Linked DNA regions of Saccharomyces cerevisiae S288C. The protein of the gene in region 1 purifies or fractionates together with the protein of each later gene. This does not show direct contact. Each region holds a gene or a part of one and is shown in the gene's direction. Other genes may lie near its edges.

Region 1 (3,755 bases):
CCAATCTGCAGTGCAGACCCCTCCATCAGAAAATTTTATAATCTCTCTTCCATAAAATACCTGAAATTTTTTGGAAAAATCACCGGCTGACAAATAAAGGGTCTGTAAGTAACCTGTGAAAAGCAAGCTGTTTAACCTAAAATTTGCACCATCTTTGAGTGTAGGCACGTGTTTGGTTACGAATTCATGAAGAGGAATTTGGCGCTTAGAATCTCTGAAAGCCAAAGACTTGGTTCCTTTCTCTCCCAGTACATGTTTGACGGTGCCGTTATAGCCCCAATGGCTAGGAGTGACAGTTGGATAGTAACCCGAGCGAAACATTAAAATGACAAATATGAAAATACTTGATATCTTGATCTTTTTGCTAATCTTCAAAAATACCGAAAACTAAGTAGGCAACCAGATGCAGAACCCTTCTTATATAATCGATTCCTGTAAGCAAGTGTCAGCAAATAGCTTCTATATAGAGACCTTTCGGTGAAAGTATATTAAAGCCGGCCGGAAATTGAGTAATAATAACCGCTAATTATGCGGTGTGTGGATTCAGATTTTTGCCAGGAGCGATAACCTTCAAATCTAAAACTACTCACTATAAGCGATGAAGCAACCAGATGGTAGCGCTTTGGTGCCGGTTCTCTTGAAGGTTTGTACATGTGCGAGTTCATGAGGTTACAATATAGAAGGTTTATACAGTAGAGCTATACAGGATAATGGAAGTTCAGTTTTGTTCGGCTTTTTCATTGATGGCTTTCTTCTTATTGCTTTCTCTCTTGGCTTGTTTCTTCTTCATTCTTTTCAGTTTCTTTTTGTAACTATAAGTATCCTTCTCACCAAAACCGTAAAGTGGCTTAAAACTCTCTAGTACACCGCAATCTTCGAACAGGTTGGGAAAGATCCAGAACCCACCAACATCTTTGTAGACAATTAATGACAAAACATATAATATCAATCTCAGGATAGCGACAGCAAAGAAGCCTGCTAAGATGCCGAAGGCACCCAGAGACACATAATAGGAGCCGCGTCTCATGGAGCGCGGCCACAATGGGTAGCATACGAGCGCCAATATGATGGACACGACACCAATGACGATCAAGTAATCCATGTAGGTTCTAGGGTTATAGTTCCAAACAAAGTATTCATCGGCTTCCAATTGTGCTTTATTCGAAACAATCAAGTGCGGAAAGTCCTTGCTTGGCTTCAATCCATGCTCTTTGCATTCTTGACTATGCAATTTTTTCACTGGGATCACCATTTGTGCCTTTATAAGTTGAATAAAGATTTCACGTGACTTAAGCTGGTCTTCGATCTTGTTAGAAGGTATAGTTGGATATATCTCTGGCTGTCTTGCAGATTTGTTGGCATACTCCTCAGAATGCAGTGCCCTAACAAATCTCTTGTAACGGAAGAAGTCTGTCTGCTTGGCCTGGAATAAACCCTGCCTTTGCTTCAACTCCTTATGGTTGCGTAAAAGAGTAGCAATGGCTGTAGCAGATCCGCCATTGACACTAGCACCTGCATTGCTACCTGGACCTACGGCTGACATGTTCTCCTGTGTTTGCTCGGCTACCATACTGCATTCAACTGCAATTATAAAAGCCCACTCTTCTCCCTCTTGATTTGTATGCCAGTATTGGGAAAACGACACGTCTATTCCGTCGCACACGATCTTCACTTTCTTTTTTTTTTTCAACTGAACGAAAAGTTTTTTCCGCAGCTCATCGCAAAGAAAAATTTTCACCTATGTACTACCTCATCTAATACAATATAAAGAATACACTTCAGATTTAGGAGTTGCAGCGTTTATAAAAAAGTAAGTGTACCCTCCAAAAGCAAACACATCTCCCTCCTATACCGAAGATGCAACTTTCATGGAAGGATATCCCTACTGTCGCTCCAGCAAATGATTTGCTGGATATTGTCTTGAACAGAACCCAGAGAAAGACACCAACTGTGATCAGACCTGGTTTCAAGATTACAAGAATCAGAGCGTTCTATATGCGTAAAGTTAAATACACAGGTGAAGGTTTCGTGGAAAAATTTGAGGACATTTTAAAGGGTTTTCCTAACATCAATGACGTGCATCCTTTCCATAGAGATTTGATGGACACCCTATACGAAAAGAATCATTACAAGATATCTTTGGCAGCTATATCTCGTGCGAAGTCCCTTGTGGAACAAGTCGCCAGAGATTATGTCAGATTGCTAAAATTCGGTCAATCTTTATTTCAATGTAAACAATTGAAAAGGGCCGCTTTAGGTAGAATGGCAACTATAGTCAAGAAATTGAGGGACCCATTGGCCTATTTGGAACAAGTCAGACAGCACATTGGTAGATTACCATCGATCGACCCAAATACCAGAACCTTGCTGATCTGTGGTTATCCAAATGTCGGTAAGTCCTCGTTTTTGAGATGCATTACCAAATCAGACGTCGATGTTCAACCATATGCTTTCACAACCAAGAGTTTATACGTTGGTCATTTTGACTACAAATACTTGAGATTTCAAGCTATTGACACCCCTGGTATCCTAGATAGACCCACTGAAGAAATGAACAACATTGAAATGCAATCGATTTATGCCATTGCCCATTTACGTTCTTGTGTTTTGTACTTCATGGATCTTTCCGAACAATGTGGTTTCACCATCGAAGCTCAAGTTAAACTATTCCACTCCATCAAGCCTCTATTCGCCAACAAGTCTGTCATGGTTGTTATCAACAAAACCGACATTATCAGACCGGAGGATTTAGACGAAGAGCGTGCACAATTACTGGAATCTGTTAAGGAGGTTCCAGGTGTTGAAATCATGACTTCTTCATGCCAACTGGAAGAAAACGTTATGGAAGTTAGAAACAAAGCATGTGAAAAACTATTGGCTTCTAGAATTGAGAATAAGTTGAAATCTCAGTCTAGAATCAACAATGTTCTGAACAAGATTCATGTTGCTCAACCTCAAGCAAGAGATGATGTCAAGAGAACACCATTTATCCCAGAATCTGTCAAGAATTTGAAGAAATACGACCCTGAAGATCCAAACAGGAGAAAGTTGGCCAGAGACATCGAAGCTGAAAATGGTGGTGCTGGTGTCTTCAATGTTAACTTGAAGGACAAGTACCTATTAGAAGATGATGAGTGGAAGAATGACATCATGCCAGAAATCTTGGATGGTAAGAATGTTTATGATTTCTTGGACCCTGAAATCGCTGCTAAACTGCAGGCTCTTGAAGAAGAAGAAGAAAAATTGGAGAACGAAGGGTTCTACAATTCTGACGATGAGGAAGAAATCTACGACGGTTTCGAAGCATCCGAAGTAGATGATATCAAGGAGAAAGCTGCATGGATTAGAAATAGACAAAAGACGATGATTGCTGAAGCAAGAAATAGGAAGTCCTTGAAGAACAAAGCTATCATGCCACGTTCTAAACTAACTAAGTCCTTTGGTAAAATGGAAGAACACATGTCCACTTTGGGCCATGACATGTCAGCCTTACAAGATAAACAGAACCGTGCTGCTCGTAAGAACCGTTATGTTGAAAGAGGTTCTGATGTTGTTTTTGGCGACCAAGATGCTTTGACAGCTTCCACTGAAAACGGTGTCAAGTTGAGACAAACCGATAGACTGTTGGATGGTGTTGCTGATGGCTCCATGAGATCCAAGGCCGACAGGATGGCCAAGATGGAAAGAAGAGAAAGAAATAGACATGCCAAGCAAGGTGAATCTGATAGACACAATGCTGTTTCCTTATCAAAGCA
Region 2 (3,755 bases), on another chromosome or scaffold:
CGTTGGCAACGCTGATAGTGTAGAGTTCAACAGTGAGCATGACTCACCTTCAAAGAGAGGTAAAATTACACTTGAGTCACATGAAATACAGAGGGCTCCCGCTAGCGATGATGAAGATAGGATTCAAATTAAACCCGTGAACGACGAGGATGACACGTCGGTCATGATCACTTTTAACCAATCTCTTTCGCCCTTCATCATCACTCTGACTTTTGTCGCATCCATATCCGGTTTCATGTTTGGTTACGACACTGGTTATATATCCAGTGCGCTGATCTCGATCGGCACAGATCTGGACCACAAGGTACTTACTTATGGGGAGAAGGAAATTGTCACTGCGGCTACCTCTCTGGGAGCTTTGATTACCAGTATTTTCGCCGGTACTGCAGCTGACATATTTGGTAGGAAACGTTGTTTAATGGGTTCGAATCTGATGTTTGTCATTGGCGCAATCTTACAGGTCTCCGCACACACATTCTGGCAAATGGCTGTTGGTAGACTGATCATGGGTTTCGGTGTCGGTATCGGCTCCTTGATCGCGCCACTTTTCATCAGTGAAATTGCTCCCAAAATGATCAGAGGGAGACTAACTGTCATCAATTCCTTATGGTTGACTGGTGGTCAATTAGTCGCTTACGGTTGCGGTGCTGGGTTAAACTACGTCAACAATGGTTGGAGAATTCTTGTTGGATTGTCACTAATTCCCACTGCTGTGCAATTCACATGCCTGTGCTTTTTACCTGACACTCCAAGATACTACGTTATGAAGGGCGACTTGGCAAGGGCTACTGAGGTGTTGAAGAGAAGTTACACTGACACTTCGGAGGAAATCATTGAACGTAAGGTGGAAGAACTTGTTACTTTGAATCAATCTATTCCTGGTAAGAATGTCCCTGAAAAAGTCTGGAATACCATCAAAGAATTGCACACAGTACCATCTAATCTAAGGGCTTTGATCATTGGTTGTGGTTTACAAGCAATTCAACAGTTTACCGGTTGGAATTCGTTGATGTATTTCTCTGGTACCATCTTCGAAACTGTCGGTTTCAAAAATTCTTCCGCTGTTTCAATCATCGTGTCCGGTACCAATTTTATTTTCACTTTAGTTGCCTTTTTTTCCATTGACAAAATAGGCCGTAGAACCATATTATTGATTGGATTACCAGGCATGACCATGGCTTTAGTCGTGTGCTCTATTGCTTTCCATTTTCTAGGTATTAAGTTTGATGGCGCTGTCGCTGTGGTGGTTTCCTCCGGTTTCTCCTCTTGGGGTATTGTGATCATCGTATTTATTATCGTATTTGCTGCGTTCTACGCTCTTGGTATCGGTACTGTTCCATGGCAACAATCGGAACTATTCCCCCAAAACGTGAGAGGTATTGGGACTTCATATGCAACTGCTACAAACTGGGCTGGTTCACTGGTTATTGCATCCACATTTTTGACCATGTTACAGAATATCACTCCTGCAGGTACATTTGCCTTTTTCGCGGGATTGTCGTGCTTATCAACCATTTTCTGCTACTTCTGTTATCCAGAATTATCGGGATTGGAGTTAGAAGAGGTACAAACTATTTTGAAGGACGGGTTCAACATCAAAGCCTCGAAAGCTTTGGCCAAGAAGAGAAAACAGCAAGTTGCCAGAGTTCATGAATTGAAATATGAACCAACTCAAGAGATTATAGAGGATATATAGTCCTTTCACGAGGTAAAAGGAAGGAGACGCAATTGAATATTCAAATACATAGTAGAAAATAAATAAAAATAAATTACAAGATAGAAAAAAGTTCATTGTATTTAAGTCGAACTAATTGTTGTATGCATATATAGAAGATTAACTAACCCGGCATTGAAGACCTTTTTTTTTTTTCACCTTGAGAGAAATACTGAAAATTTTTTTTGCTGGGATGAGATGAGATGCCTACCTAAAGTATTTCGAAGGTGAAAGCGTTTTATTATAGAGTACTGAAATAAAGCACAATCAGGAATAACAAATTAACTGACAATGGCACCTTTAACCAAGAAGACAAACGGAAAACGTTCTGCTAAAGAAGTTAGTCATTCAGAAAAGAAATTAGCCAAAAAACCTAGAATTTCTATTGATTCGTCTGATGAAGAATCAGAACTATCCAAAAAGGAAGATGCTGTATCCTCTTCATCAGATGATGATGATTTGGATGATTTAAGTACCAGTGACTCTGAAGCAGAAGAAGAAGCTGACGAATTAGATATTTCCGATGACAGTGAGGAACATGAAAATGAGAATGAAGAGAAAGAAGGAAAGGACAAATCTGAAGGAGGTGAAAATGGAAATCACACTGAACAAAGAAAACTGCTAAAAGAAAGGAAAATGCAAAGAAAATCTGGTACCCAAGTGCAACAAATTAAATCCGTCTGGGAAAGATTGCGTGTGAAGACCCCACCTTTACCAAAACAGATTCGTGAAAAACTTTCCAACGAAATCTGGGAGCTATCTAAGGACTGTATCAGTGATCTTGTCTTAAAGCATGATGCTTCCCGTATTGTTCAAACTTTAGTCAAGTATTCGTCCAAAGATCGTCGTGAACAAATTGTCGATGCTTTAAAGGGAAAATTTTATGTTCTAGCCACATCTGCGTACGGTAAGTATCTATTGGTTAAGTTACTGCATTATGGTTCAAGAAGTTCAAGGCAAACTATAATAAATGAATTACACGGTTCTTTGAGAAAATTAATGAGACATCGTGAGGGTGCCTACGTTGTTGAAGATTTATTTGTTCTTTATGCCACACATGAACAAAGACAACAAATGATTAAAGAGTTTTGGGGCTCTGAATATGCTGTATTTAGAGAAACCCACAAAGATTTGACCATTGAGAAAGTTTGTGAAAGTAGCATTGAAAAAAGGAATATTATCGCCAGAAACTTGATTGGTACCATTACCGCATCAGTAGAAAAGGGTTCCACCGGCTTTCAAATTCTACATGCTGCTATGAGAGAATATGTGAAAATAGCCAACGAAAAGGAAATATCTGAAATGATCGAATTGCTTCATGAACAATTCGCTGAATTGGTGCATACTCCAGAAGGTTCAGACGTTGCTTGTACTTTGGTTGCTAGAGCTAACGCCAAGGAAAGAAAGTTAATTTTAAAGGCTTTGAAAAACCACGCCGAAAAATTGATCAAAAATGAGTACGGTAATATTGTCTTCATTACAATTCTGAACTGTGTTGACGATACAGTTTTAGTATTCAAGACTTTCAGTCCTACTGTTAAGGAACATTTGCAAGAATTCATAATTGATAAGTTTGGTAGAAGGCCTTGGTTATACATACTATTAGGTTTGGACGGTAAGTATTTCTCACCTATCGTCAAGAATGAATTATTGAGATACATTGAACTGTCCAAAGCCACCTCTAAGAAGGATCCTTTACAAAGAAGGCACGAACTTTTGTCAAAATTCGCCCCCATGTTTTTAAGCACTATATCAAAAGATTATTCCAGTATATTGACAGAGAATCTAGGCTGTCAGTTCATTGCCGAAGTTCTAATAAACGATGAGTTGTACGCGCAGCTGAATGAAAAAGACCAAGAAAAGTATCAACAGGTCTTAAACAACATTTTAACTACTTTTAAGGGTGACATAACCGAAGAAGAGCACCCAATACATAGAGCATTTTCTACTAGACTATTAAAGGCACTAATTCAAGGTGGTAAATGGAATAACAAAGAAAAAAAGGTCATACCATTAAAAAATGTTCAAGGCTTAGGCGTTC

Evidence for each region.
Region 2: the proteins of NOG1 (region 1) and PUF6 purify together in Saccharomyces cerevisiae (affinity purification with mass spectrometry; 5 studies listed by BioGRID, with this or other methods). This does not show direct contact.

What each region holds. Positions count from the first base shown.
Region 1 is NC_001148.4:369,121-372,875, forward strand, and holds the start of NOG1 (putative GTPase NOG1), read left to right. Parts: upstream 1-1,857; coding exon 1,858-3,755. Other genes in the region: EEB1 (medium-chain fatty acid ethyl ester synthase/esterase), read right to left, coding at 1-321; Sec63 complex subunit SEC62, read right to left, coding at 719-1,543. UniProt on the Saccharomyces cerevisiae protein: Involved in the biogenesis of the 60S ribosomal subunit.
Region 2 is NC_001136.10:1,441,654-1,445,408, reverse strand, and holds the start of PUF6 (Puf6p), read left to right. Parts: upstream 1-2,005; coding exon 2,006-3,755. Other genes in the region: myo-inositol transporter ITR1, read left to right, coding at 1-1,696. UniProt on the Saccharomyces cerevisiae protein: RNA-binding protein involved in post-transcriptional regulation. Component of the ASH1 mRNP which transports the ASH1 mRNA to the distal tip of the bud, where the ASH1 protein is translated and targeted to the daughter cell nucleus.